Linked DNA regions of Lonchura striata. The protein of the gene in region 4 binds, or shares a complex with, the protein of the main gene of each other region. Links are inferred from orthologs where the notes say so. Each region holds a gene or a part of one and is shown on either strand. Other genes may lie near its edges. The genes, in order: SARNP, THOC2, THOC7 and THOC1.

Evidence for each region.
Region 1: THOC1 (region 4) and SARNP share a complex: the UniProt entries of both Homo sapiens proteins name them as parts of the transcription/export (TREX) complex. The link is inferred for Lonchura striata from reciprocal best matches to the Homo sapiens genes THOC1 and SARNP.
Region 2: the proteins of THOC1 (region 4) and THOC2 are in contact, whole or in part, in a cryo-EM structure (PDB 7ZNL), measured with the Homo sapiens proteins. The link is inferred for Lonchura striata from reciprocal best matches to the Homo sapiens genes THOC1 and THOC2. Residues at the interface, in NP_005122.2 of Homo sapiens: Asn134, Arg138, Asn141, Leu144, Arg145, Lys149, Thr153, Cys156, Gly157, Gln160, Leu161, Ala164, Arg165, Phe167, Gln242, Phe245, Arg246, Tyr297, Ala299, Lys300, Phe301, Arg319, His320, Leu323, Gln324, Ile327, Tyr331, Arg373, Phe374, Lys376; in NP_001075019.1 of Homo sapiens: Leu155, Phe156, Tyr157, Lys158, Gln160, Asn163, Leu164, Leu165, Arg166, Asn169, Glu170, Ala173, Lys174, Ile176, Ala177, Gly180, Gln181, Asn195, Lys197, Ser198, Leu199, Ile200, Gly201, Cys202, Phe203, Asn204, Leu205, Pro207, Asn208, Arg209.
Region 3: the proteins of THOC1 (region 4) and THOC7 are in contact, whole or in part, in a cryo-EM structure (PDB 7APK), measured with the Homo sapiens proteins. The link is inferred for Lonchura striata from reciprocal best matches to the Homo sapiens genes THOC1 and THOC7. Residues at the interface, in NP_005122.2 of Homo sapiens: Leu10, Arg14, Glu46, Gln53, Arg56, Glu60, Ile63, Ile64, Asp99, Asp102, Cys103, Leu104, Pro105, Arg146, Gln151; in NP_079351.2 of Homo sapiens: Tyr47, Gln51, Leu54, Ser55, Ser58, Gln59, Phe62, Gly65, Lys66, Leu69, Val70, Met73, Arg76, Glu77, Asn80, Ile84, Ile88.

What each region holds. Positions count from the first base shown.
Region 1 is NC_134629.1:9,289,879-9,297,005, reverse strand, and holds the start of SARNP (SAP domain-containing ribonucleoprotein), read left to right. Parts: upstream 1-4,117; 5' UTR 4,118-4,146; coding exon 4,147-4,182; intron 4,183-7,123; coding exon 7,124-7,127. UniProt on the Homo sapiens protein: Binds both single-stranded and double-stranded DNA with higher affinity for the single-stranded form. Specifically binds to scaffold/matrix attachment region DNA. Also binds single-stranded RNA. Enhances RNA unwinding activity of DDX39A.
Region 2 is NC_134616.1:9,796,287-9,803,857, forward strand, and holds the start of THOC2 (THO complex subunit 2), read right to left. Parts: upstream 3,006-7,571; 5' UTR 2,877-3,005; coding exon 2,815-2,876; intron 1-2,814. UniProt on the Homo sapiens protein: Component of the THO subcomplex of the TREX complex which is thought to couple mRNA transcription, processing and nuclear export, and which specifically associates with spliced mRNA and not with unspliced pre-mRNA.
Region 3 is NC_134614.1:17,667,730-17,675,662, forward strand, and holds the start of THOC7 (THO complex subunit 7), read right to left. Parts: upstream 3,006-7,933; 5' UTR 2,893-3,005; coding exon 2,874-2,892; intron 2,588-2,873; coding exon 2,470-2,587; intron 2,200-2,469; exon of another isoform or gene 2,101-2,199; intron 1,637-2,100; coding exon 1,509-1,636; intron 1,184-1,508; coding exon 1,097-1,183; intron 111-1,096; coding exon 53-110; intron 1-52. UniProt on the Homo sapiens protein: Component of the THO subcomplex of the TREX complex which is thought to couple mRNA transcription, processing and nuclear export, and which specifically associates with spliced mRNA and not with unspliced pre-mRNA.
Region 4 is NC_134603.1:48,096,383-48,103,444, reverse strand, and holds the start of THOC1 (THO complex subunit 1), read left to right. Parts: upstream 1-4,050; 5' UTR 4,051-4,087; coding exon 4,088-4,135; intron 4,136-5,135; coding exon 5,136-5,209; intron 5,210-5,316; coding exon 5,317-5,377; intron 5,378-6,289; coding exon 6,290-6,356; intron 6,357-7,062. UniProt on the Homo sapiens protein: Component of the THO subcomplex of the TREX complex which is thought to couple mRNA transcription, processing and nuclear export, and which specifically associates with spliced mRNA and not with unspliced pre-mRNA.

The DNA.
Region 1 (7,127 bases), on a different chromosome or scaffold from region 4:
TGGCCGAGGAGGAGCCGGAGCCGTTCCGGGGGCTCGGGGTGCAGCCCGCGGCCAGCGACACCGAGCTGAGGCGGGCGTGCCGGAGGCTGGCGCTGCTGGTGGGTGTCGGGGACACTTTGGGGACACTTTGGGGACATCCTGGGGACAATTTGGGGACAATTTAGGGACGCTGAGGGTCGTCGCTTGGCAGGTGCACCCCGACAAGAGCCGCGACCCCCGGGCGGAGGCGGCGTTCCCGGTGCTGCGGGAGCGGCTGAGCAGCCCCGAGAGGCGGCGCGAGTTCCAGGCGTGAGTTTGGGGCGAAAAATCCCAAATTTGGGGGTGTAAATCCCATCTCTGGGGTGTAAATCACAAATGTTGGGGTGAAAATCCAATATATTGGGATGTAAATCCCGGGTTTTGGGGTGGGATGGGAGCAGCTGAGCAGCCCCGAGAGGCGGCGCGAGTTCCAGGCGTGAGTTTGGGGTGAAAAAGCCCAAATTTGGGGGTGTAAGTCCCATTTTTGGGGCGAAAATCACAAATGTTGGGCTGAAAATCCAATATATTAGGATGTAAATCCCGGGTTTTGGGGCGGGATCGGAGCGGGTGAGCAGCCCCGAGAGGCAGCGCGAGTTCCAGGCGTGACTTTGGGGTGAAAAATCCCAGATTTTGGGGTATAAATCCCATTTTTTGGGGTGGCAATGCTGGGTTTTCGGGTGCCAATCCCATTTTTCAGGGTGCCAATCCCAGATTTCGGGGTGTAATTCCCATTTTTTGGGCCTCAGGAAGCAGCTGGCATGGTCAGAGCTGGCGCGGGCGCTGGGCGCATTTTTGGGGCTGTAATTCCCATTTTTCAGGGTGCCAATCCCATTTTTTTGTATAAATCCCTTTTTCTGGGGTGCCCATCCCATTTTTAGGGGTGCCCATCCCATTTTTTGGGGTTTCCATCCCATTTTTCAGGATGCCAATCCCATTTTTTGGGTTCTAATTCCCGTTTTTTGGGCCGCAGGAAGCAACTGGCACGGTCAGAGCTGGTGCGGGCACGGGACGTGTTTTTGGGGCTGTCATTCCCATTTTTCGGGGTGCCCATCCCATTTTTCAGGGTGCCAATCCCATTTTTTGGGGTGCCCATCCCATTTTTCAGGGTTCCCATCCCATTTTTTGGGATGCCAATCCCATTTTTGGGTTCTAATTCCCATTTTTTGGGCCGCAGGAAGCAGCTGGCACGGTTGGAGCCGGCGTGGGTGCTGAGGATGTTTTTGGGGCTGTCATTCCCATTTTTCGGGGTTCCCATCCCATTTTTTGGGGTGCCCATCCCATTTTTTGGGCTCTAATTCCCGTTTTTTGGGCCGCAGGAAGCAGCTGGTGTGGTTAGAGCTGGTGCTGGGCGCGTTCCTGGCCCGGCTGCAGGAGGAGCTCAGGGACGCCATGGGCTGCACCCGCTGCGGGGGTGCCACAGGTGGGGACACCGAGGGGACATTGGGGACACCGAGGGGACATTGGGGACACTGTGGGGACATTGGGGACACCGAGGGGACAGTGGGGACACTGGGGACACCGAGGGGACATTGGGGACACTGTGGGGACATTGGGGACACCGAGGGGACACTGTGGGGACATTGGGGACACCGAGGGGACATTGGGGACACCGAGGGGACATGGGGACACCGAGGGGACAGTGGGGACACTGGGGACACTGTGGGGACATTGGGGACACTGGGAACACTGTGGGGACACTGGGGACACCGAGGGGACATTGGGGACACTGGGAACACTGTGGGGACATTGGGGACACTGTGGGGACAAATGTGCCCATGCCCTCAATGACCCCAATGTCCCAAATCTCCCCAGTGTCCCCAGTGTCCCTGGGGGTGTCACTGTGTCCCCAATGTTCCTGGTGTCCCAAATATCCCTGGTGGTGTCCCATACCCAATGTCCCCAGTGTCCCCAGTGTCCCCAATGTCCCCATGTCCCCAGTCTCCCAATGTCCCCAGTGTCCCCAATGTCCCAAATCTCTCCAATGTCCCCAGTGTCCCCAATGTCCCCATGTCCCCCATGTCCCCTCGTGTCCTGGGGGTGTCCCGGGGTGTTCCGGGGTGGCCTGGGGTGTCCTGGGGTGGCCTGGGGTGTCTTGGGGATGTCCTGGGGTGTTCTAGGGGTGTCTCGGGGTGTCCTGGGGGTACCCAGGGGTGTCCCGGGGTATTCTGGGGGTACCCAGGGGTGTACTGGGGTGTCAGGGGTGGCCTGGAGTGACCTGGGGCTGGACACCAGTGGTCAGTCCTTGGGGATGGGATGGTAAGGAGTGACCAAGAGTGCCCGGGCAGTGCCCAGGTACATCCATGTGTACCCAGGTGTGCCCTGGCAGTGCCCAGGTACATCCATGTGTACCCAGGTGTGCCCAGGGGGTGCCCAGGTACATCCAGGTGTGCCCAGGCAGTGCCCAGGTACATCCAGGTGTACCCAGGTGTGCCCAGGGGGTGCCCAGGTACATCCAGGTGTGCCCAGGCAGTGCCCAGGTGTATCCAGCTGTGCCCAGCTGTGCCCCAACCCCTTTTCTCTCCCTCCCCAGGGCCTCCCCCAAGGGCAGCGCTCCCTCCCCCAGCGCCCCCCAGGATTTCCTAGCCCACCTTTTCCAGGGACCCCCCCAAGGCCAGGGGGGTCCCCCCAAGGGGGACACGAAGCACAAGAGGAGGAAGAAGGGGCGGCGGCCGCAGCCGCGCTGAGGAAAAACCCCCCCAGACCCTCACCCCAAAAAACCAAGAACCTCAAAAAAAAACCCCAAAAAACCTAAAAACTCCACAAAAAAAGGGCTTGGAATTTTTTAAAAAATCTATTTTTTTTTATTTGACTTTATTTGGTTTTTTAAAAATAAAATCGAGTGGTGTTTTTTGTATTTTAAATTTAAAAAGAGGGGAGTGGAAATTTGAGGGTCCCTAAATCACGATATGGCGGCAGCACTTCCGGTCTGCGCAGGAATAAGATTAACGTCACTGACGCCGTTGTGGGCGCTGCCATGTTGGTGGGTTCTATGAGGGTGCAGAGCGCGGCGCCATCTTGAGTGTGGGCAAGGCGGCGCTTCAGGCGCCGGTACCGGGATTGCGGCGGGGCCGGAGCGACCGGGAACGACCCGTGGGGGGAGGGTGTGTCCGGTTAGTGCGGGAGATGCGGTTTGGAGCGACGGGGAAGCGGCCGCTGCCGTCATGGAGGTTGCCCGCAACCATCATGGCGGGCACGACATCCATCATGGCGGCCGCCACGCCCAAAAGAGAAGCTCATTTGAATAATTTGAATTAATTGAATTATTTGAGTTATTTTAATGATAACAAGAGGGGGTTGTGGCTCAGGAGCTGCGGGAAGCGGAGGCTGTGCTGGAGATTGGAAGTGTTTTTAATGAGAAATAGAAAGATATGCAGTAGTACTAAATAAAGTTATTAATAAATTAAGTGATAATAATTTATTAATAAGGGAATAAAGCAGCAGCCCTTGGGAGCAGCGACTGGAGAAGGGAAAGGAGTGGGAAACGCAGGAATGTTTTGGAAAATGGCCCCAAATTTGTGCTCTGCACCGCTGGGTGAAGCACAAATGAATGAATTATAATGAATGAATTTATAACAAAGATTTAATGCAAAGCATTTAATGCACATAAACGGTAACTAAATAACGCAAATATATGCAAATTTTCGGTAATAATTAAACAACAATGAAATTAAATCATAACAAAGGCTATATTTTAATAGATAAAAGTACTGCAAAGAACATAGCAACACTCTAAGCAATAAACACAAAATAACCAGAGGTAGTAAATAATAAATATCTAATGTTATCCAGGAAGGTTAATAGTTTAATGAAGGGAGATAATTTTTAATAATTAATTATACCCCAGTCCCTCAATGACCCCGCTCCGCTCCTGGCCCCACCTCCCGGAAGTCCGCGTTTCCCGCCCTCTCTTCCCATTGGCTGTCTCTCAGCACATCCCTATTTCCATTGGTTGATCCGCACGTCAGTCAACATATCCCCGCCTCTATTCCCCGATAAGCCAATCACCGGCGGGCGCTGCCGGCAGCGCTGACCAATGGCGAGCGGCGGATTTGGGCGGGGCAGCGGGGGACGCGCGGCGCTGATTGGTGGGAGCGGCGGGAGGGGCGGGGCGGGCGCGGGGGTGCCAAGATGGCGGCGGAGCCGGTGGAGCTGCACAAGCTGAAGGTGCCGCTGGGAGAGGGAACGGAGCCGGGAAAACCGCGGGGAGAGAACGGGGACAGAACCCGGCAACCGCCACAGCCCGCGGGGGCAGCGCGGGGACTGCGGCTGGGACGGAGGGAGCGCGCGGGGGAACGGCGGGAAAAGGGCCGGAAACTCGGAGGGGTCCTGAGGGAGCTCTGGGGGGCTCTGAGGGTCTTGAGGGGGCTCTGAGGGAGTTCTGATGGAGTTCTGAGGGTCTGAGGGGCTCTGAGAGTCTGAGGGGGTTCTGAAGGAGCTCTGGGGGGCTCTGAGGGTCTGAGGGGCTCTGAGAGTCTGAGGGGGTTCTGAAGGAGCTCTGGGGGGCTCTGAGGGTCTTGAGGGAGCTCTGAGGGGCTCTGAGGGAGTTCTGAGGGGTTCTAATGGAGTTCTGAGGGGCTCTGAGAGTCTGAGGGGTTCTGAGGGTCTGAGGGGTTCTGAGGGAGCTCTGAGGGGTTCTGAGGGAGTTCTGATGGAGTTCTGAGGGGTTCTGAGGGACTCTGAGGGTCTGAGGGCTCTGAGGGAGTTTTGAGGGTCTGAGGGGTTCTGATGGAGTTTTGATGGAGTTCTGAGGGGGCTCTGAGGGGTTCTGAGGGAGTTCTGAGGGAGCTATGAGGGTCTGAGGCGGCTCTGAGGGGTCTGAGGGGTTCTGATGGAGTTCTGAGGGGCTCTGAGAGTCTGAAGGGCTCTGAGGGGGGTCTGAGGGAGCTATGAGGGTCTGAGTGGGTTCTGAGTGGTTCTGAGAGGTTCTGAGGGGGGTCTGAGGGGTTCTGATGAAGTTCTGATGGAGTTCTGAGGGAGTTCTGAGGGGGCTCTGAGGGAGCTTTGAGGGGTCTGAGGGGGTTCTGAGGGGCTCTGATGGAGTTCTGAGGGGGTTCTGAGGGGGTTCTGAGGGAGTTCTGAGGGGTCTGAGTGGGTTCTGAGTGGTTCTGAGAGGTTCTGAGGGGTTCTGATGGAGTTCTGAGGGGTTTTGAGGGTCTGAGTGGCTCCGAGGAGGCTCTGAGGGGGTTCTGAGGGTCTGAGGGGCTCTGAGGGGGTTCTGAGGGGGTTCTGAGGGTCTGAGGGGCTCTGAGGGGGTTCTGAGGGGGTTCTGGGGCTCTGAGGAGGCTCTGAGGGGGTTCTGAGGGTCTGAGGGGCTCTGGGGCTCTGAGGAGGCTCTGAGGGGACTCGGAGTGTCTGAGGGGCTCTGGGGGGTCTCGAGGGGGCTCTGAGGGAAGCGGGAATGGAACCGGGACCGAGGGGAGCGGGGCAGGGCTCCGGGGGAACCGGGAATGGGGGAGAACTGGGAATGGGGGAAAACCGGGAATGGGAGAGAACTGGGAATGGGAGAACTGGGAATGGGAGAACCGGGAATGGGAGAGAACTGGGAATGGGAGAACTGGGAATGGGAGAGAACTGGGAATGGGAGAGAACCGGGACTGGGGGAACCGGGACTGGGAGAGAACTGGGAATGGGGGAACCGGGAATGGGAGAGAACCGGGAATGGGGGAGAACCGGGAATGGGGGAGAACTGGGAATGGGGGAACCGGGAATGGGAGAGAACCGGGAATGGGAGAGAACCGGGAATGGGGGAGAACTGGGAATGGGAGAGAACTGGGAATGGGAGAACCGGGACTGGGGGAACCGGGAATGGGAGAACTGGGAATGGGGGAGAACCGGGACTGGGAGAGAACTGGGAATGGGGGAACCGGGAATGGGAGAACCGGGAATGGGAGAGAACCAGGAATGGGAGAGAACCGGGAATGGGAGAGAACCGGGACTGGGGGAGAACCGGGAATGGGGGAACCGGGAATGGGAGAGAACCGGGACTCAACCCCGATTCCCTCTCATTCTCATTCCCAGGTTTTTCTCGCTCATTCCTGAATTCCTTCTCATTCCCATCCTGTTTTTCTCTCTCATTCCTGGGTTTTCTCCACTCATTCCCAAATTCCTCTCTCATTCCCATTCCCGGATTCCCTCTCATTCCCAAATTCTTCTCTCATTCCCATTTCCGGATTCCCTCTCGTTCCTGAATTCCTTTCCCATTCCCATTCCTGGATTCTGTCACAGTCCAGGTTTTTCCCGCTCATTCCTGAATTCCCTCTCATTCCCACTCCTGATTTTCCCTCTCATTCCTGGGTTTTCCCCGCTCATTCCCAAATTCCTCTCTCATTCCCATTCCCGAATTCCCTCTCATTCCTGATTTTCCCTCTCATTCCTGGGTTTTCCCCGCTCATTCCCAAATTCCTCTCTCATTCCCATTCCCGAATTCCCTCTCATTCCTGGATTTCCCTCCCATTCCCAAATCCCCTCTCATTCCCGAATTCCTCTCTCATTCCCATGCCTGGGTTTTCCCCTCTCATTCCCAGGTTTTTCCCATTCCCGGTTTCCCCCCTCATTCCGGGTTTCCCCCCTCATTCCCGGTTTTCCCCCCTCATTCCGGGTTTTCCCCCCTCATTCCCGGTTTCCCCCCTCATTCCCGGTTTCCCCCCTCATTTCCGGTTTCCCCCCTCATTCCCAGGTTTTTCCCATTCCCAGTTTCCCCCCTCATTTCCGGTTTCCCCCCTCATTCCCGGTTTCCCCCCTCATTCCCGGTTTCCCCCCTCATTCCAGTTTTCCCCCTCATTCCGGGTTTCCCCCCTCATTCCCGGTTTCCCCCCTCATTCCGGGTTTTCCCCCCTCATTCCAGTTTTCCCCCTCATTCCGGGTTTCCCCCCTCATTCCCGGTTTCCCCCCTCATTCCCAGGTTTTTCCCATTCCCGGTTTCCCCCCCCATTCCCGGTTTCCCCCCTCATTCCCGGTTTCCCCCCTCATTCCCGGTTTCCCCCCTCATTCCCGGTTTCCCCCCTCATTCCCAGTTTTCCCCCCTCATTCCCAGGTTTTTCCCATTCCCGGTTTCCCCCCTCATTCCCGGTTTCCCCCCTCATTCCCGGTTTTCCCGAATTCCCAGCTGG
Region 2 (7,571 bases), on a different chromosome or scaffold from region 4:
AAGGCTCCTTGATGCGTTGAATCTCTCACAAAACAAGGTAAGGTACCAGTTACTATGTAACTTATAAATGCCCATGTGGGCTGCAGTCATAGATCAGCATCTTCTTGTGGAAATAATTTTCCTTCAAACACAGCACACACAAGTAGGTCTACAAGGAGTCCAGACTGAGCAGCGTAAGTCATCACACTTGGATTCCAACTTCATTTGCACACCAGTATCTGGCAGTAGCAAATAAATGAATATATTTTAATAAAGTGTACTTAGAGACAGATCTGAACTTGAAACTACCACATTTGTGTATTTTTATTAGATACTATTACACGTCAGTAGCTTAATTAATTAAATCCAAAGCTTGTACAGTTTTGACCGATGTCTCTGAACAATGTCTTGGAAGCAAATGGTCACTGCTGCATTACTAATTAACATTATGACACTCTTAAGACATAAAATCCTTACCTTCTGATTTCTGGATAGCACTGTTAAATCATGACAAGTTGATCACATAATCAAAAATATCACACCATTGAAAAAAATAAAATACAAAAAAAACCCAAAACAAAAAAAAAAAGTATAATTATCTTAGAGTATCCATTATTAATCCTAGTAGATTAATAAATTCTAGTAGAAGTTGAAATGCCAAATTGAAAGAAAGCATTTTCTTCTCTCAATATAGTTTCATATTCCCCCAAAACATAGAAATGTGTTCTCATTTAGGTAACTACTGCCAAAATACTATCTCAACTGATCTAGCCAGATCCTGTAAGCCATTTCATACTCCAGCAAGTAAATATTTTTCCATAAGAACTAATCTTTTTTAGCAATTATGAAGGGTTTTTATCCCCCTAAAATGCCTACCAAAAACCTTCTAAATTTTTGTAATTCTTCTATTTGCTAGTAATGTCAGTTTTGCCATTCTGTAGCATCCTTCCCCTCCCCACTTTTCTAACATCATTTTAATGAATTGTCCTCACTTTCAACCACAAAGACCAAGGGTAAACTTACACCTAGACGTAATTTTTATTCTTGGGCATACTCGTATTAGACAAATAATTCAATAAAAATAAGTAGTGTTATTGCATTTATTCCCTTTTTACTTTAATGCTTAAAAACACTTCATGTGTTTCATTCTGAAATGATAGCATCCCAGCTGCGTTTTCCTCTAGTTAATCAGAAGATAGGAAGTTTTGGAAAAAGAAACAAAAAGTTACACACTGAAGACTCTCCCATTAAAGCTGTCTTCCTAAAAAAGTTCTCTAAATATTGTCTACATGCATATACTTTAGATTCCAGAAAATAAGTTCATGCATATTTCTCAAATTTCTAAAGCTACCACTGCAAAACCTGACAACTGTTATCCAGACACAATTACATTTCTTTTAAAACATATGGCCTCATCTGCAAATTGCTCTTTAAGTCACGCCTGGAACACCATTTAAGCAGTCTTCCAAATGAAGTGCAAGTACCACAAATACAAGAATCTAGCTAATCATTTTGTTTTATTGGTCCCACAGCAGATGAACACTCTCCTCCCACCCTGTTAAAGAAGTCCTGCTCTGAGGGGAGAGAACAATCCTAGAAGGTTTTATCATGGTCACAAGCCATGTAAGTTGCCTCTTACAAAGCTCAGAGAGCTGGGAACCCAGTGAGAACAGTGCAGTTGCCATTACGTGATCAGCTGTGAAATGTCTGTTCTCCTGCAAACTCCACCAGCCTCTCAACATGTTCAGCTTGTGTACTAACACAAATAATGGCTCCAGCATGATTCAAACTAAAAATTACACGGCTATAAAGGGGGCCCCCTTCACTACAAAATGGTGGCTCTGGAAAGAACAGTGTTTTGTGCCGGGATTCTCTACATTCTCTAATCTCCAACCCACTGCCATTTCCCCTCATGCACAAAGAAAATTCATTGCCAAAGCTGCACAAGCTTTCAGAAAACACGAACAAAAGAAAATAAAATGAGTGATTATCAGGAAGTGTTTCTCTAAGTGATCCCTGCAACATTCATATTTAAAACTGAAAAATTTAAAATTTTGTTGTTTCTTACAACAAAAAGCAAAAGCACATGGAAGAATTAAAATAAAAGCGCATAAAAAACATATAGCTAGTGCAAAGAACACCCCTGTTAAGCTAACAGAGAAACATGAAATGACCAAACTGGTGAAGCGCCCTTTGAAGAGCTGTACTCCTGAAACACAACATTTAGTGAACTTGCCACATAAAGATGGCTTAAAACAAACACAGGCCCACAATGGAAAGCTCCTGGCACACCTGGATTAGTTTGAGAGGTGGCAACCGAACCCCTCCGTGAACAAACGTTACTTTGTGGAATAGAACAGGAGTGACTACCTAACCGTACTCTGCCTGGATCAAAGAATACAGGGCCAGTCCCACCGGAATCGGTAAAAAAGCGGGAACGGGGGCTGAGGCCTCTGCCAGAAAGGTCAGTACTGTAGAGCAGCGACACAGGCACGCTTCGGGGTCCGCATTACCTCGGGGGGCGGCTGAAGATGAGCCCGACCCCCGCCAAGCCCGGCCCGGAGCTGGATGGGGCGCTCGGGGCGCCGGCACAGCCGGGCCCAGCTACGGCGGCCGGGCGTCGGCGGAGGGCGGCAGCACCCGGCCGGACCCGACGGGAGAGCGGCCCAGGCCCTCCTCCCGACCACGGCTTCGACCCCACGTCCAGCAGCAAGGACGCAGCCCCGGCCGAAGGCCTCTGCGCCGCCCCCCAGCCTCCCCGGGCCGCCGAGGCCCTCGCCCCCCTCTCGCAGGCCGCAGCGCCCATCCCTCCCCACGGCGAGGCCCCGCACTCACAACTCGCTCTTGCCGCCTTTCTCCCAGTTCTTTATCCACTCGGCCGGGAGCAGCGCCGCCATCTTCCCCGTGCAGCGCCGAGGGCCCGGATGGAGCAGCGGCGGCGCCGGGTCAGAGGGGACGGACGGGCCGCGAGAAACCGCGGGACGCGGCCGCGCCGAGCGGGGAGGCGGCGGGGCGGACTGCGCCTGCGCGCGGGGGCCGCGGGGCGGTGCCACGCCCGCGCGCGTGCGTTAGAACCGCGGGGCGGGGCGGGGCGCCTCGCGCGCGTGCGCGCTGAAGTCCCGGGGGCGTCGGGCTCCGCGGGCGCGCGTTAGGGACGCGTGGTGCTGGGGGCGTGCGCGCGCGCGCGCGCATTAGAGCCGCGTGGTTTTGTGTGTGCGTGCGCGCGTTAGAGCCGCGTGGTTGTGTGTGTGTGTGTGTGTGTGTGTGTGTGTGTGTGTGTGTGTGCGCGTGTGCGCGCGTTAGAACCGCGTAGTGGTTTGTGTGTGCGTGTGCGCGTTAGATCCGCATGGTTGTGCGTGTGTGTGTGCGGTTAGAGCCGCGTGGTGGTGTGATGGTGTGCGCTGGTTAGAGCCGTGTGCCGGTCTGTGTGCGCGGGTTAGAGCCGTGTGCCGGTCTGTGTGTCCTGGTTACAGCTGTATGCCGGTCTGTGTGTCCGGGCTACAGCCGTGTGCCGGTCTGTGTGTCCTGGTTACAGCCGTGTGCCGGTCTGTGTGTCCTGGTTACAGCCGTGTGTCAGTCTGTGTCTGTGTGTCCTGGTTACAGCCATGTGTCAGTCTGTGTCTGTGTGTCCGGGTTACAGCCGTGTGTCGGTCTGTGTGTCCTGGTTACAGCCATGTGTCGGTCCGTGTCTGTGTGTCCTGGTTACAGCCGTGTGCCGGTCTGTGTCTGTGTGTCCTGGTTACAGCCGTGTGTCGGTCCGTGTCCGCGTTAGAGCCGCGGCGCGCGCGCGTTGGAGGCGTGGGGCGGGTGCCCGCGCGTGGCGCGTGCGTCGGTGCAGCGGGCGCATGTGCGCACGCGCGGTGCGGGTGCGCGTGAGGCGCCGCCGGCCCCGAGCACGGCGGAGCGGCGAGATGTCTGCTCGGAGAGAGGGCGAGAATGGTAAATCGTTTGAATAAATAGGCGGTTAAAAAGGGATTGTGTAAAGCTTGCTATGACACGTCTAAATGGTCCTTCCGATACAAGCACTTAGGACAAGCAGTTGTATGGACCTCGTATTCCGCGTGTCGCCCCTAATGCGTGTGCCTATTTTATTACATGTCGCTTGTCTCCATTAAGTTTCTGCAAGTTGTTCTGTGTTCCCTTCAGTTGCTAATTGGGATATTAGGGTTAAAACACTCCATTTGGTCGGGTAGCAAATGTTTTTAGTCAGACATTTCTCTTTCCTCTCAAGCCACCTACGTTCTCAGTCTTGTACATGCTTCCTCCTCTACAGTAGTGTCAATTGTTTCACAAATACAATGAAACTTCAGCAAATGGGGAAATTGAAATAAAATCTAAAGGTGAGGCCCCACAGCCCCTGTGCCGTTATCGGTGCCAGCACTGCTGTGCTCGCTGCCTTGTTCTCCACTCTGAACTGAAACGTGCAGCTTGCTTGTTTTATATATATATATATATATATAGGTGTAACAGCTTTCCACTCGCAAAATAGCTCTGATCAGGAAGTCTAGCATTTCAGCAAATCTACATAATTCTGCCTGAGACAGGGACTGGTGTTGTTTCAGTTACCATTCTCAGCCAGTTTCTGCGAGCTGTGCAGAATATTGTGCAGAAGGCTGCTTATGAACAACGCCTACTTCAAGGGGATCCCTTACAACCCTAAACTCTGCAGTAACACAAGGAGTAAAGGAGGCAGATTCTCTGCTTCTCATACTTATATTTTAATTATATGGAGACCACATTCCAGGCATACTATATGCAGTGTAATAGAAGATACACTCAGTTTACAAATGCCTAATCTATTTCTGATAGATTATTTTTAAAATAAAAATTCAATAAATATATTGAAAACATATGTATAAATGATAAGCATAGAATTGCAGGCCCGAGGAATAAAATGAGAGGGTGTTATAAGCAAATGCAATAAGTCTATTTAGAAGATAAGCCTAAGAGTCACATAAACAGAAAACAAGAATCTAACAAAATATATTAGGTGCAAGGATGTATGTAGGAATAGTTATGTAAGGTCTGAAGATAAAAATTTGAGATTTTGCCTTCATGATGAGGAGGAAGAGGCAGTCATGGAGAAATGCAGTAGAATAAAGCCATCAAATCATTGCAGGACCAACAGATTAATTCCCAAGTTTACTTAAGGAATTTAAACCTCTTATTTCTTGAAGTATATTAGTAACGGACTGGGACAGGCTGAAAATAAAAGACAGTACATGCAATGCAGAAATACACATGACAGAACCAGTTTTAAAATCTACTCTGAGAAGAGTCTTGATTCCACAGCATTTCTATAGTACTATACAAAACCTTTAGTGGTTATTTAACATAACATTTAATATTTATATAAAATACATTCTCCTTAATTAATATGGATTCTATATATGACATATAAGCTCTAAAACATAGACATTGCATTTTGTATTGCATAAAGTAATGTAGGCAAAGCAAAATATTTTTAAAATAAGTATGTACCAATTCCTTCTCAGAATGACGTATTTTTGACACAGAGTAGTCTGTTCCACACTATAAAGTCATATTCAGTTCTGACTTATCCTTGCTTTTGTGGTGGACATCTCTAGATAGTGAAATGTCTTTCTCCGTAGCACTTGATGTTAGCTGAACTGGGAGGAATTCCTAGGTTAAAAAATAAGACTTATATTTTAGTTCTGTAAAACAGCCTTTATAGTTCATTCTTCATCTTTTCATGAGGCTTTTATTTGCTAGAAAAAGCATCCTGGGCATCCTCAGATTTGTATCAATAAGTCAGAGAACCTTGTTAAAAGCCAGGACAATTTTGTGTTTCTGTTGTTTCAACAGGTTTACATTTACCTTTCTAAATAATGGAATAAAATAAAATGTTGAAAAGAAGGAAGAATGATGCCTGCAAATGCAGGATATGTCACAGCACAATCTTAAATCACCTACTGTGCTTCCTGCCTGAATAAAGAAGTGCTCTGAAGGCTTTGTCCGAGCTACATTAAAGGAAATGCCTCTGTCACCACTATGGTAACAGCTGGATAGCAGCAGGAAGTTATTTAACTGAACAGTAAATACAAGGTTTTCAAGGCTGTAGTACATTATCCAGCAAATACATAGCTAAAAAAATATCAGTGGTAATTGGATCTTATAAAAATGTATTTATTCTTGGTTTTCAAAATAAGTACTACAGCCATCTATTGGGAGAGCTGGAAATGTACAAAAGCAAAAGAAATAAAACATCCAACAGCTCTTTTCCTCTGTATTAACCAGTTCCATTATTCATGTGACAAGGCACAACTTTATTATCTGCTTTGAGGGTTAAACAATTGAGTGCTTTACTTTTTCTGCACAGACAATTAAGAATTACTTTTTGGAAGAAATTATTTTTTTATTATTTGGCTTTAGTATCATGTCCACGTAAGAATTAATTGTTCTAAATTCCCCTTTTTCTTTTAACAGTAATTGTTTCATGATTGTACCAGTTCTTTTTCTGTAGACATTTCCTAAATTCTCACACAGAAAAAATAAAGGTACAAAGGAGGCATGAGTTCACATTGTTAAGATGATTTCCATTTGGTAAAAGCTGTTTAGGCAAGTAAGAATCTTAAACATTAGCTAATACTGGCTGTTTCCATTCATCTGGACAGCTGAAATGAGAAACATTCTTAGACAGTGATTGTCAAATACATCTTGCAACTTTTTGGTTTTTTCATAGCTAAACTCAGTGTCATTGCATCATCCTGAGCTATAAAATGTCCCAGATTTAATGAAGATCACACCATTATGGAGAGCTTTGCTTATTTTCAGCTCACAGAAATCAGCATTCTTTCACTCAGAGTTGTTTGCTTTTCTTACCACTTGGCAGCACAGGCAAGAGCCAACTGTAGATTTAGGTTCCATTTCCAAACGCAATTGGCCTGGATATCTTCTGGTCAGGGCTTAACATGCACATAACTTGTTGGTTCTGTGTATGTTCATGAAACCTGCTGCTGAATAATGAAAGGCAGAAAGACTAATTAAACTCTTCTGCATAATGCCTGTGAAGAAGAGGCTTTGTTAGAAAAGGTGCTGGAAGCAATGCCTGGAGTAATGTGATTGGAGCAGGATTTGGTAGGCAGCAGATCAGTTATTTGCTTGACAGTATGTTTCACTTATTCAATGTGTATTTCTCCCCCATCAGAGCCTATCACTCTAAAGAATCCTGTTCATTTTTTTTTCTGATCATTGACAAGGAAAGACAGAAAGACCCCACACAAAAATCTGTTTCAGCGGTAGATTTGAACAACGAAGAAACTGACCAAAACAGGGAAAAGGATAATTATTTCTTCAATCACAGTATCACCAAATGGCAAAATGTTAGTGCAGAAGTAGAGATCTGTAAGACACTTGCTGCAGGGATTTATTTTCAGAATGAAGACAAGCTGATCTAATGGGCCTTACTCCCATCCTGTGCTGGAACCATTGCATTGACAATTCCTGCTTGCCTGCACTGAAGAATGATGACACAATTAAAAACTAATAAAGTAATTAAGCAACATTTTGTCTTCCATTGCATACATCTTCCTTGAAAATGCTATATCAAGAACAATTACTGTAGTATGTAA
Region 3 (7,933 bases), on a different chromosome or scaffold from region 4:
GGTGACTTCTAGTTTACTGTTCTATTCTAATTTAATGTAGTTTTATACTTACTTCAGTGTTTCATGTCTGTCTGGGTGATGCTGTATGACTTTGGCCAATGCATCATATTCTGAAAGACATTTAAATAGTTAATCTAAATACTTCTGAAAATATGGATTCAAGAACCCAAACTCAGGTATCATGAAATGGCAGATTCTTTTTCCTTGAAAAACTGTTTCAATGTTTTTCAAAACACCTTAAGACAGATCTGCATTGCTGCACACAGTCTTTTGTGTCTGATTCATAAACACTGGGTTTCGATACAACCAATGTATATGTGCAGAAAATGGTGCTGATTTTACACATGAACATTCAAGATTTTTAGAAAAAAGTATAAGATGCATGGATTTTTTTTTTCATTTTGAGGATTTTTTTTTAAAAACTATTACACATTAAGAATAATATTATGGTTATATATTATGGTTATACAGGCAACTAACACAGCCATTTCCTGGTAGTAGGACCATAAATATGCAAATTACCTCATTCACCTGGAAAAATTTGTGCTGCAGACAAGACAGAACATACCAAAAAGTAAACACTTCAGAACTATGTTCGTGAAGATGTAAGAACTCCACATTCCTACTGGTTATTTTATTTTCCAGTTGAGTTCAATATTATCTACAGTATTGATCAAATCAACTTGTATTTAAAACCTTTCATGTTGTATTTCTGAAACTTTTGGCATTTCATTTATCATGAAAAAAACATTTTTTGATTCTTCTCAACTGCTCATCTTTTAGAGTGTTGTAGATTTCAATGCATTATGAGTATATAATTTTAAAAGTAGGGTAAAAACACGCCTCTTAAAAAGGATGTACAGAAAGGACACTGTTTTAGGTTTTCCTGATGCTGCATGTCATTGAGATTTGGTTCAATCTTGCCTGTGCCATCCAGCCAAAACTTTCAGTTGTCAGTGGAACCCACCAGGCTGAATACACTAATCACAATGCCCTGCACATTCAAAAATTTAGAATCTATTTTCCAATACAATGTATTCTAGAAGATCAGAAAACAGTGAAGCCCACAACTATAAATACAGATATGGCACCTTACCCTGGCGATTTTTTCGAATCCTTTTTGCTTGCAGGATTTGTTTTTTGCATTCAGAGATCTTCTCATGGGCTGCAGCTATACTGTTTTCTTTTAAAAAGAAAGAGAGTCATATTGAACTCAGTACATGTAAATAAGCTATTCTGCTAAATTATAGAACATGGTGGCTTGTTAGCTCCATTAGCTTAAAAACTATATAGATGCCAATAGGTTAAAAAAGCTCTTGTTTGTATGTATTCTATGTAATTACAAGATGCTTATAGCACATATATGAGTGCTATCTAGTAAGAAAAACAATCCAAACCCAAAAAACCTCCAAACCACTCATCAGATGTATATATTATGTTTACTAGGCTTGAGCTTGTTCGCAGGAGAAACTGCCAAACAGAAATCAGTAACATTTTCTCATGTTTACCTATATCCTTATAGATTTTTTCATAATTTTCCATCTCTCTCAGGTTCATGTCATATACCAGAAGAGTTTTTCCCATTGAAAATTCACACTGTGATAAAGTGCTCAGCATTCGTTGGTACTGGGTATATCTGAAAACAGACAAGACATTTACTCTCAAGCAGCATAAAAATTTTTCCTCACTTCACAGAGCAAGAAAACAAAACTTCATGTAGCTTAAGGGACAGCTAAATAGCAATTATTCAATAAAGAAATTATATTCAGTGTATAGTTGGGGTTTTTGTTGGAAGTGCAGCTAGAAACCCTGTACACATTGATTTCAGCATCATTTCATTTTCAGTGTAGAGTGGGTATTAAAGCAGTGAGCAGTTTGACCCAGGGCTTATAAATTTTCCAGCTCGGGTTGGCTCTGTACCACCAAATTAGTATTTTAATACTGCAGTGCTTCTCTGTATACACACTGGTAATATTGTGATCTCTGGGATTTTATATCCATTACTAACACAGACCCTACAGAATGCTGTCACTCGTTACTCACTAATTTAGACTTAAAAATAAATAAATAAAAAAGAGAGAACGACAGCAGCAGAAATACCAGCAGTATTTCCCTTCCCTAACAGAACAAACGCAGAACTGCCAACTCAAATATCCGAGTCATGATCCTGTTATAAGAGCGGGACTCCTGGCTGGAGCACGCAGCAGGCACAGCATCCTGCGGGCACTGGAGCGGTGCTGGCAGATTTCACGATACAGCCCGCAGCCCTCGGCGATTGCTGACCCGTCTGCAGCCTCCTCTCCCAGCACAGTCCTCGGCGTTTGTCCTGGAAACACCACAGAGCCGAGGAAAAGCAGCTGTGCACATTTTTAACGCGGACCTCTTCCAAACGGATCGAGCCCCGCTCCCCACTGAAACGCAAGCTAAGCAGTTCCAAGACTTTAAAAACCGAAGCAAAACAACAGATACCCTTCCTCCTGAGATCCGGAATTACACCACTTAATGAAACTCTTCACCAACAAATTGATCCGCCTGTCGTCGCCAGCTCCATCGCCATCGATCAGCAGCCGCTTGCGGATAACTTCATCTGCGGAGAGGCTCCCGCTCAGCCCTCACGCCATGGCAGCCGGCCCCCGGCGCCGCAGGGAGCGGCTCCCGGAGCCGCGGCGGGCGGGTCCGCTGAGCCGCGGGCCCGGGGCCGCCTTGCAGGCCGGCCCGCGGGGCGAGCGGCCCCGGGCGGGCGCGGGGGCCCGGCAGCCGCTCCCCGGAGGGCGGGCGGGGGGCGCGGCGCCGCGGGGAGCCGCGGCGGGGGTCGCGGCGCGGGGCGGGAGGGAGGAGGGGAGGATGGAGAAAGGGAGGGAGGGAGGTCTCACCGTCGGTCACGGCCCCCATGGCGGCGAGTGCCGGAGCCGGCGGGGCGGCGGCAGCAGCGAGTGAGGTCAGCTTCCCACAATGCAGCCGGCGAGAGCGGCGGCCATGGAGGGGGAGGCGGCGGCTGCTGGGGCCTGAGCCGGCGGGCGGCGGACGCGCGGCCCGGGGAGGGCGGGCGGGCGAGCCCCGCGCCCCGCGTGGAACCGGCCCCCTGGCGAGGGGCGGCCCCGCCAGGTGAGCGCCCCACGGGGGAGGGAAGCGGCGGTCCCGCAGCCAGGCTCCACCTCCCCGCCCCCGCCACCCGCACCGGCCCCGCCGCCCCCCGCCCGGCCGCCCCGCCATGCCCCCGGCACATGGTCCCGCGCCATCGAGGCCGCCGGGGTCGGGGCCGCCTCGCCTGCGCTCCCGGCTCGGGGTGTCCTGCCCAGCGCCCCGCTGCTCCCGAGCTCCCCGCGCAGGGCTCCGCACGGTCCCACCGGCGGCGGCGGCACGCGGGAGCGGCGGACGGGCCCGCCGTGGTGGCGGTGGATGGTGCTGTCACGGTGTCGTTGAGATGGCACTGTGAGGGTGGTGGATCCCCTGTGCTGCCTGGCCAGCCCCGGTGGCTGGAGGCAGCGGGAGCGATGGCTCCTCGGTGCCTTTTCGCTGGTGACGGTGTGGAGGACGTGCCCATGGCACAGGTGTCAGGACATGCAGCAGGGCCAAAAATTGTTCTGATGTTTCCTGGTGAGTTTGGCTATGATCAGCAGATAGGAAAAATAGCTGTTTCTTCCTGTCCTGGCAAACTAAGCTGGTGCTGGAAAACGTTGCTAGAGGCGTCTGGAGAAAAGATATATTAAGGTGTTACCATGTATTGAGTTTAAGGCTTTTGGTCCATAGGCTTGGATGCTTGCACAGTGCTGGTAATGTTACTGTAGTGTATATCACAGTAGATGAGGCTTACCAGAACCCGACACCTTTCTATTCCCTCTTAATTTTGGTTTGAACAGTTAAGTGGCCAGCTGTCTTGTTCTGCTGGACACTATCCATTGACAGTTTTAGGATGGTGGGGAAAATTAGAGTGAGAAAAGAACAAAGTTAATATGTGCTATCATCTGTTAGTTCCTGGTTTTAGACCTCTGAGAGGTTAAGAGGCTCTTTCTTGTTCTTGATAGAGGCATTTAACAGCTCTTCACGGATTTCTAGATTGTTTCAAGTCAGTCCTTTGTCTTCAACGGGCAACTGATCAGGCCCTTTGGAAGGTTCTATTAGGGGAGCATTACTGGGAGCGGTCATTAAAACTCCCACCAGAACTTTTAGGAATAAAGCGTTTCCAACATAGGAAACTTGGATAACTGTTCTTGAAGTTTTTATGTACTCTTATGTGATTGGTGAGTGATATAATTGTATATGAAAACCTAACGATCTACCCAGTTACCCAAGTTGGGCCAAAGAATGGGCCATGCATTCATGAAGTATGTAAGCTGTACTGAAGGTGTTCACTTCTATGAACTCTGATATGTTGCCATTTGTTGGTTTGACTTAAAACTTCGTTTTTCTTAAGGCTTTGATCACTATGGTACAGCCTAGTATTTTGCCAAAGGGTGAGAAGAAGACCTAGCTGAAGTTCTCTATGCAAATTTTGTACAGTTCCTGCCTTTCTCTCTTTATCCACTTATTTCCTTTTGCAAGTCTTAAGCATTTTGAAACATCCAGTTTAATCAAGACTTAATATTTTTTTACACCTCTCTGAGCTCTTTCCATTTCCTGAGCCCTTTTGTTTTTTATCACAGAGGGAAGTTGGTCAGAACAGAAGACTATTGTGGGTGAAAATACACAATTATTTATTTAACCATCTCAAAACTTCTCTGTGATTTTCTGTCATTTAATCCAATACAATCTTTTCTCACTCTTTGTTCATCATTCCATTCTTGGTCAGATGGTCTTGTTAAGCTCTCCAGAATGACAAATAGATAGTCCTTGAGTAATCAATTTAGAATACAGCAGTACATATGACTAGTTAATAACATTTAATGCCTTTTGTTCCATTCTTCGTATGTGTTACTAATTACGAGCTTCTATGATTTTTTTTATTCCAGGTCTTAAGCTCATAAGAACAATTTTGAGAACAAAGCCATTATTTTTCTTTTTAAGACAGGGCTTTCAGGCATCATCAATGTTCATTAACTTTTCTCCTTTAGAATGGAAGTAGAACTTGGTAAATACATCATCAAGAATCTCACTACGGCTAGGTATTGATGCAACAGCCTGTTTGTTCTCTCTCTTGCTCTATTTTGACATATTAAGTATCCATGGGATGTTTTTGATTGGGAAGCCAGGTCCAGCTTGCTGGGTTCCTGTATGCATTTGAGAATTCACTGTGTCTTAGGAGTTTCTGTTTTGCAAGTTTCTGTTTTCCAAGTAGAATTCCTCTTCTTGTAAATGTGAAACAACCTTTGTTCTTGCGTGTGGAGGGTGTTGCATTGGACTGTATACAGCCATGCCTTTGCCATCAATTCAGTGTGATGTATGGTGTAGATCTCTAAAACTGGGTTAACTTATTCTTATTTATCTGTACCTCACCACTTTGGGTACTCTGGGCAGATTCTATCAGCCACAGTCTTTTATATAATCCTTCAACTGAACCTTCCCTAAAGCATCAGTAGTGGAGATTCACACAATAGGAAAAAATTCTTGCACGGGGGACAGCACCTGACTTTGTGCCAGCTCTTTTGGAATAAGTACCTGTGTGTGCTTTCAACCAAGCTAAAATGTCACACAATTTTCCCTCTTTCCTTGAATTCTTTTATGTGTGCCATATGGTAAGACCCTGGATCAGCTTATACATAATAATTTGTTGCACATCTGTCCTTGTCAAAAGTGTTAAATAATCCTCTGTAATGTTTCCAGGTGATTCTGGATGCAAGAAGTATAACCTAGGTAAGTTTAGTACTGCAAGATGTTACACGTGTGTGGAACTGGCTTTGATTTTTTCATAAGTATACTTTTTTTTTGTTCCTGAAAATATGGCTTTTAAGTGCACTGATGTTTTTTTTTTTTATTGAGGAAATCTGTTAATGCTGAAGTTTTCTTTCCTGAGAAACAATCTATGAGAGCAAAAGTTTAAAGTGACTGTATACCTCCTCCCTTTTTCTTTAACTGTGTGTGTATATGATTTTTTTTCCCAACCACACAAAAAGTTAAAGGGGAAGAAGCTTTTTATAGTATTCCAGCCTATAATGAACTATGATTTTTAAGAGCTAAGAAAACAGCTTTAACTATTGACAAGGTGGATTAAAAATATTTTTCTTTTGCCTCCCTAATAATTTATGAGGTGGTTTTAGAGTCCAGGTTTTCTTCATGTTGACTAACTTCTAAATCAGACTTCTGTGTAACACTAAATCTTAAAGAGATCTAAGTATAGTAGGTCAGAAACTGCAGGGTATTTTTATCCAGTCCAACCTATATTCTTGTCAGAAAGCCATACCAAATTTATTTAGTGAGACCTATTTTCTGTAAGCCTATGTTTAGCATTACTTTTTACCACCATCCTTTATCTTTCTGTTGATAATATACCGGGATTCTGTGCAAGATGGATAACAAGCTAACCTATCAGGCTGTTTTTCTCATTTGAAATTGTTAGAGTTTTATTATCTTTGCAGTCTTCTGTAGCCTCAGCATTTACTGAAAATTAGCATCAGTGTTCCAAGAGCTTGTCATCTTGTTCTGTAAAAATTCTAAGACACTGGCTGTCTAATTCTGCAGATATTAAAATAGTCACTCTTGGCAGATAAACCTGAAATCTTTCAACCCAGTGATTGAGGTATAAAAAGTAGCGAGTGATTCTCAGCCTTGTAAAAAGCTTTCCTGACATGGACCCTTGTCTTTCTGCAGAGCCAGCCCATTTTCATAGAATTACAGCAGAATGGAAGAAGGGAGGGTGAAAATACTTGTGACTGTAGTGATAGTACCAATAATTCTAAAATGCAACATTTTATTATCTAAACAGCAGTCAATTTTGCTGTATTCTGCCTGTGTTACCAAGATTGATTAAATGTGCTGTTAATCTCATACTTTAAATACCAGGCTCCTATCAGATAATAGTTTAATCACAAGTAGTGGTCTACAGTATTGGTTTTATTTGTTATTTTTTATTTTGTAACTGAAAGAAGCCTGTAAAATTTCTGAAGTTTTGATGGAAGCATCTTGCAAAATATTAGTCCTGGAAATATTTTGTTCATTAGAAAGACATTTTATCACTACTATTTTTCTCCTGAAGGGAGAAAAGCTTATTTTAGTCATAAAATTAAAAAAAAAAATAGTGCTTCATGGTCCTTTGAATTTTTTTTTCCTAAGTAAGGGCTCTGTGTCTTAGTTAATCTTAATGACACAGGTGGCATTCTGATATTGTCCTCTTTCAGCTATCTTCACAGGAATTATGTAACAGCTTTCCAAATTTCATATCCAGATCCTACTGAATATTTATGAAGCTTGAGGATCAATTATTGCACATTTTAGGATGATCTGTGACTAATTTATTAAAGCTTGTCAAACTCAGCTTGGAATTTCATTATATTGGATGTGTAGGTATTGAGTATAGAAGCCAGAGCTTTTAGGTGCAGAGATGCAAAGGGAAGTGTGCCCTGTGTGTGTGCCAAAAGGGGCTCTGTTAGAGTGGGATTAGCAGGAGTGGCACTGTGGGTCATGATTCCTACTCCCAGGGGCTTGGTAGATTCCCACTTAACAAGAAAGTCAAGGTGTTTTAACAGGTGTCTTGAGAAACTCTGTGTCATGAAGCTGCTGCAAGAACAGATTAGCTGGTTAGAATTTTCTTTTAATCTGAAAATCATTAACACTGTCGACTGCCTGTGCAATGGCTCAGAGATCCCACATGATGTCTGCATTCTGTGATTTAAAGTGACTCAGGTAATTTTGGTATGGCATTTCATGCTGTTCTGTGATTCTGTTTCAATGTGTTTTGTAAGAAAGCAGACGTTATTTTGGAGGTTTTTTGACAGGATTAGGCAGTTATCTAGCATGCTCTTAATTTGTTGGTAGGATGTTTTCAGGGTGACTTAATTTT
Region 4 (7,062 bases):
TAGTGGGCCATTTGACAATCACTGCTGTTTGTGACCATATTTCCACCTATCTGCAGATATAAATTGATAAAAATGAAGTATAATGCCTGGTAGTATTCCAGGAGATCTATGCCAGCAAGTCCCATATCCCAGATAAAGATGAAGAATAGAAAAATCAGTCATTCTCAGATTCATAAGTGAAGCATATAAGTCTTCTAGGTGAATCCAAAATCTTCTACATAAATGAACCCTTCCTAGGTACTCTTGCCAAATTATTTTTAAAAATGCCACCAAAATACAAAATATATCAATAAAACACTTCTGCTGTAACTGGTATGAGAGAATGGGATCATATGGTATATATTCCCCAGCAATTTATTCAATAAATCAAGAGGAAACCCTGAAAGTATTAAATGGACAAGAACATCATAACGAGATTTGACAAACATAAAAGTTGAATACATATTTTGGTGAAAAGTGTAATATACTAATAAAATGCAGAAAGATTCTCTGTTATTCACGTTATAAAAATGTTATTTAAGTTTTCCTGAAGGGCTGTGCTTTGTGTTAATCTTGCTTCTCCTTCGTCAGTCCACACATTATTAATTGTACCTCACAGTCAGTAACAAGCTACAGTGACTGGCAGGACGCCACCTTAAAATTAAGTGCCTAAGGTAGGACACCTTGTATTCATCAATGTTTAAAAGATAAAACTGCCTTGTGCAACTTCCCATGACTGGTGTGGAAACAACAGGTAAGCTAGTTAAACCAGGCTCCTAAGGCAATTTATCCACCCTGTAGTTCTGCACTGAAGGGTGTGCAAGGTGGTGGGGAAGGAAATGGGTTGAGAAGAAAAGCACTTCAGCATGAGAGCTGGAAACTAAGAAGGGAGAACAAAGCACTAAGCCCTCAGGCTATCAGAGATCGGAGGCTTCAGGTCTCCAGATATGCCCTTCTGCAGAAGTGGTAACAGAAATTAAAATTGAAAGATTGATCTTGGAACGGGGTTTTACTCCAAAAGACAGCATCTGGGTGAAGTTTTTTGTAATTCCATCTACACAGCCTCTTGACATAAAATGATAGAACATCTGTTCTAGCAACTGACCTCTGAGTACACAGGTCTCCTGAGATACTGTTGCTGTTGATTGCTTTCATCTATCTGAGCTTTCAACTGGTGATAGCTTTAAATCTGGGCTGAAAAATTATTTGGCGTATAATACTATTATAGAAAGCAATATTTACTTCTTTTTCCCCACCTTAGCTGTGCTAGCTTTCCACCTAGCACATACCAGAAGACACAGCTTTTTCTAACATACTAACATATCTAATTTATAATTAGCTACATTGACAATATCACTGACTGCTCTTTATATCCAGGATAACTGCGGCATTTTAATTCACGGGTATGCAGCACTACTCCTCTGATTGAGTTTCTGATCCCCCAAATCAGATTTTGTCTGCCAGCCCAGAGCACAGTTTGGCACCTCTGTTAAGGTGATGAGGATGGCTCTAAGCGATGTTGTCAGGTGCTGCACGGTGACACCACCACGTTGGCAAGCAGAAGTGCCACGCCGCTGACATTGCAGGGCAGGGCTCTGCCCGGGGTGCACAGCAGCTGCTGGGGCGAGAGCTTCTTCAGGCACTGCAGCCTCATCTGTCCGCAGCACAACAGGAGCACTAACAGCCCAGCGCTCATCCCCACCTCTCCGCGAGAAAGTAACACCGTTCCAAACGGGAAAAATTCGGTACAGAACAAGAGGTGGCTATAAACCACTATTAAATCACATTGTTCTTTATCTGTTCCTACCCCAAGGAAAAAAACTCCTCAGTCATGTTGTACTCATTAACAAATATACTGCACTGCTTTTTCAGTATGTTGGCAGTTCTCTCCGTTCATCTAAAACATTAGTCTTGGCTTAAGGAATATTTCTAGTCAAAAATGACTCAATTTTCTTTAGCAGTATCTCCTTACTTTCACTTCTATCATCTTTTTAAAGTGTAAAGCTTTTTTTATAACCAATTTATAGAGTTCTTCTTTGTTTCTCTTTCTTACAGCAAGAGATGGGGGCTAGAATAATTTCAAATTGTTCATTTAGAATGGCCATTTATTCAGCTGATAATATTATTTAATTTATTAAAGTAAGAGATGAGAAATAGTGGAGGGGGAGGGGGGAAGTAAACTTTCGCCCAAGCCTGAATGAACAACATTCAGCAAGTCTCAAAGCACACGCAGGTGACTCATTCAAAAAAGACAGATCATGTGGAGCCTTATTTTCAATGTCATGAAGCCTCTTCCCCCATGGTTTGAAAGGAATTGGCATCCTCTGGCATTGCCCACGTTTCTTAGGCAGTGTCAAGCAATGATTTCAGTTATGGATGAGGTGACAAACTCTGGGCTGGCAGGGTGCCTCCACCTCCCCATTAGCGGAGCAGCGCCTGGAACCAGCCACCCAAGCGCGGGTCAGGCCGCCCCTCCCGCTGCATCTTCCTTTTCTGGGCAAACACTTCCCTCTCCCGGTACAAACGCTAACTACAGCCACACCACGCCATAAATCATGCCCCATATATTCCCATCTATCCTTTCATGCTTTACTTTAAATATTTGCACTTAATAATGACAATAAACTTAATTTTAATATTACTCGCCTCTTCCCATATGAACGGGATATTCGATGTTTGAGCTTTTTCCCACGTTTGATCAAGAGTTTGGCAGTACCTGTGCTTTTGGCCGGACACCAAGGTCACTTCTACCCCTGACAATTCTATGATTCTGATTCTATGATCATGATAAATGTAATTTATCAAATATTTCTGTCGCCCAGGAGGTATCTGTAGGATATTGCTCAACCTGTAAATTGTCAGCACTGAGGTGATTTTACTGATGATATTAAGTCCCTAATCATTTTTACTTCAGTGGAAATGGTGGGAGACTGTGGTCTAGGGTTTTTTATCAGGAAAAAAATAACCAACAGTTACATCTGTAGAGTCATTTCAGCTTTGGTAATAGTGAAATGTGAAAGGTCTGGGCACAGTCTGATGAGGAGTGGCTGAGGAAGCTGGGGTTGCTTAGCCTGGAAAAGGGAGGCTCAGGTTGTTGTTCAAAATAGGTTCATTCACCTGATATTTAAGAAGCCAGTCCACAATCTGAGTCGAGGTGTTTTATTTACTTACAGTCCTGAGCAGAGGACTGCCGAGCAGCAAATCCACAAAGCCAGCACACTGACTACCAATATGTTTCCCTATTTATACATTTTAGCAAACAAAGGCATTAATGTTCACTGGCAACAAGTTGCATAGTTCTCTTATTAATTTGTATTCTATCTTCTGTTAGTTAAGTAATTCCCTCATACTCACTCTAATTAATCGCTATGGCCAGGCCTTCTCCTGAGCCCATGGGTCGGTGGTTGCAATCTCCCTGTCAGAATTACCTTATACTCAGCTCCAGCCGATTCCAGCACAGTTGCAGAGTTGGCTTTGTCACTTCCGTCCTTATCTCGGGAGTTCTGCCAAACTTTCTGGTGACCTGCAAATGCTGCATTCTTTTGTGTCCACTCTCAGTGGCACATCCTTCTCCTCAAGCTTAGCGGACCATCCGAGATCACTGAACCATGTCAAATACTAAACTTTTAACAAGCCAATTCCACCGAGAAGCCATTTATCCTTCTAACACCTGCACGTCAAGGGAAGACCTCATCACCCTCTGCAAGGAGGAGGCTGTGCACAGCCGGGGCCGGCCTCGTCTCCCCGGCAACACCGACGGGACAGGAGCAAACGGCCCCAGGCGGTGCCCCGGGAGGTTCAGCCTGGCCACCGGGAACGGCCGCCCCGCCGGCGGGGCTGCCGGGCATTGGAACGGGCTCTCCAGGGAAGCGGCGGAGGCGCCATCTCTGGAAGCGTGCGGATGTGGCCCTTGCGGACGCGTTTTGGCGGCGGGCCGGGCAGTGCCGGGTTAGGGGCTGGACCCGACCGTCCCGGCGGCGTTTCCCGAGCCGCAGCCGGGCGCCGCTGGGCGCGGCCGGGCCCGTCCCGCCGCCGCTGCCGCGTCCCGCCGGGAGGGCGGGGCCGCGGCGTCATCCGCGCGCGCCCGCCGCGCCGCCCGCCCGCCGACATGTCGCCGCCGCTCTTCAGCCTGCCCGAGGCGCGGCTCCGCTTCACGGTGAGCCTCCCCCGCCTCCCTCCGGCCTTCGCTCCATTCCTGCCGCTCGGGCCGGGCTACGGGACGCGGCTGTGCCTCGGCGCCCCCGGGCCCGCGGCCCGGCCGCTCCCTGATGGAGCTGGGCGCGGCCGAGGTGCGGCGGCGCGGGGCGGCAGCGAGGGCGGGCTGCACGCCCGCTCGGCCGGGGCCGGGGGACCAGTCACCAGGGTAGCGGAATTAATGTGAAAGACAAAGTGTAGCGTGCCTCCTGCAGCAAAACGTCCGGGCGTACTGCGTTTGCTGCCTCTGCTGAAGGATGCCTTTCCTGTCCCAGAGCTGGGGGCTCCGTGTGTTCCCAGGCCTCTGGATCCCGGCGTTTGCCAGCCAGGTTGTCAGACAAGAGGATGGGATTTGCACTGAAGTGCTCGAGGCACAAGCACTCGATTCATTAGACCGAATTTGTAACAGGAAGTCGTAATTTTTAGACCATCTTCTTAGCAGGAGTCGTGTGCTTTTAAACATCTTCATAAACGCAGGACTTGCAGGGATCCTATGCAAGTTTGAAGGTGATAGAAAATTGGGAGGAGTTACTAACTCCCTTGAAGACAGCGAGAGGCTTTCAGGCACACGATGCGATTCTTGGGGCTGTCTGTGCAGAGCCAGGAGTTGGACTTGATAATCCTTGTGGGTCCCATCTGACTCAGAATATTCTCTGATCTGTGTCCCAAACCACCATAACCACCTGAAGCTGTGAGTGTAGCACGTGAGACAATGATGGATACAGTGTTGGTGTTTGCACTACACTGTTACCCCAGGTTTGAGGTGTGATGCTCTGTAGCTCACGTGCTTAATTTCCCATGTACTTGTTATTTGCCCTTCCTATTACAAAGCTCTCTCTGTAAACTAACACAAGGTGTGTGGCAGAAGGATTCCTTAGTATTTCTGCCCACTGTCAGATGAAGGAGGAAGATGCTTTAAGTTTTGTGCTTTCCTTAGCTTTTCTTTCTTTGCATTTTGGTAGACATCCACCAGAGAGGCTCTGATTAACAAAAGCATCAAGCCATTGTTGAATGCATTTAACCAGGTTCCTGGAAGGTAAGTAAAGGCCACTTGATTTTTTAAAAAGTACCTATTTAGATCAGTTTTAGTAATCTTGTGCCTGAGGGTTGTTACTAACTATGGTGGAATGTTTTCTTTTGCAGTGAAAATGAAAAGAAGTGTACCTTGGATCAAGTTTTTAGAGTTGTTGTAGAAGAAGAAATAGTAAGTATTTTAAACTGCTGAAGCTTATCTCTTCTTCAGCCTCAAATTTCTATTAGCGGGCTCGTGTATTAATGTAATAACAATTTACTTTAGTGTGAGAAAACACTTTATTAAAAACAAGAGCTATGTAATGGTGAGGTAATTGAGATGAAATACAGATGATTCAAGGAGATTGGTAGAATCTTGTATTTTACAGACATCACACTATGGTGAGAGCTGTTTGAGCCTTTTCTAGCAGTTCTTTGTAATGCTTATGAAAGTCTGCTACATCTTAAAATTCTAATTCATAAACATGCATCGTTCAGTAATTGTTCTTTAAGAGTGGGTGGAAAGGGTAGGTTTGGAGTAGATGTCAGAAAGAAATTCTTCACTGTGAGGGTGGTGAGGCACTGGAACAAGTTGTCCCAAAATGTTCTGGATGCTCCATCCAATGTGGAAGTGATCAAGGTCAGGTTGGATGGGGCTTTCAGCAACCTGGGCTAGTGAAAGGTGTCTCTGCCCCTGGCAGCGGGGTTTGAGCACTGAGATATTTTGCCCTCCTCAAATCAAAATTCTTTTGTGGTATGTTACTAATATGTAACAAAGCTGCCTTGTCAGCTGAAAAGAATGATAAAAGGAGTCAAATAATGTATGATCAAGTAATATTCAAATGAAGTCTGAATGTGGGATACTAATTTTCAGAAGTAAATGACTGTACATTTGGGTCTTTAGTGGGTGGAAGCAGTCAGGAAAGGTTTAATTTTCAATAAAAATTCAACTGCAGTTAACTGATAGGTCAGATTTCATAGATTGTTTTGAAAAGTTGAATTTCAGCATTTGTTTTAAATATGCCTACTTGGAAACAAGAATTTTACTTTTGTTAGGTACATTATGGTTAGTTTGGAGAATTTCAACACTGTTTTCTTTGTTTAGATAAACAAAGCTCCATGTGAGAATCTCCTGGCAATTATTTCTCTTGCTATTAATGGAGTCACAGAAGGTGAGCATTTCTCTTTCAAATCTATTGGCAGTTTCAAAGACCATTTAGGGAAATTTTAAAATCTTGATTTCTGTAAATCATCTGCTGTGATTACATTTGGTGATATATAGCTCTTATGTTAGTGGTTAAGCTTGGATTTGTTTCAGAAGAGAAATTAAGTATAATATAATTAAATTTGGTTATATATGTGACATTTATGTTGGAAAATTTTTGTTTGTTTGTTTGTTAATAAAAAAAGATGAATGGGTTTGGTTGCAGCATGATTAGCAGTTTCTTTGTCCAGCACTCTAAAATGATTAGAAGTTTCCCATCATAATTTTAAAGATGAGACCACTGAGGCAGAGAGGTAAAATGACTTGGCAGAGGCAGAAATAACATCTCCTGGGTATCTGTGCTCATCTCCTGTCAGTATATGGCTGGTTTTTACATATTTAAATCTGTTTTAATGACAGCTTGTGTCAGACATCAGTGTGCTGTTCTCCTCTGAAATGGCTTTTGCTCTCTTCCTTTTCTTTATTTGTTCACATTATTCATCAAAAATTGTTTGTTTTAGTAAGTACAGATTACAAGCTGTATGTTTTGTGAGCTGTAGAATAACAAGAACTGTGCTTTGAGGAAAGCAGTCACTGCCTACAGAGCATGGGTGGATGGACTTGGAGCTCTGTTTTAGTGGTTCTTGAAAAGGTTCACAGGCTTCATGGATGTG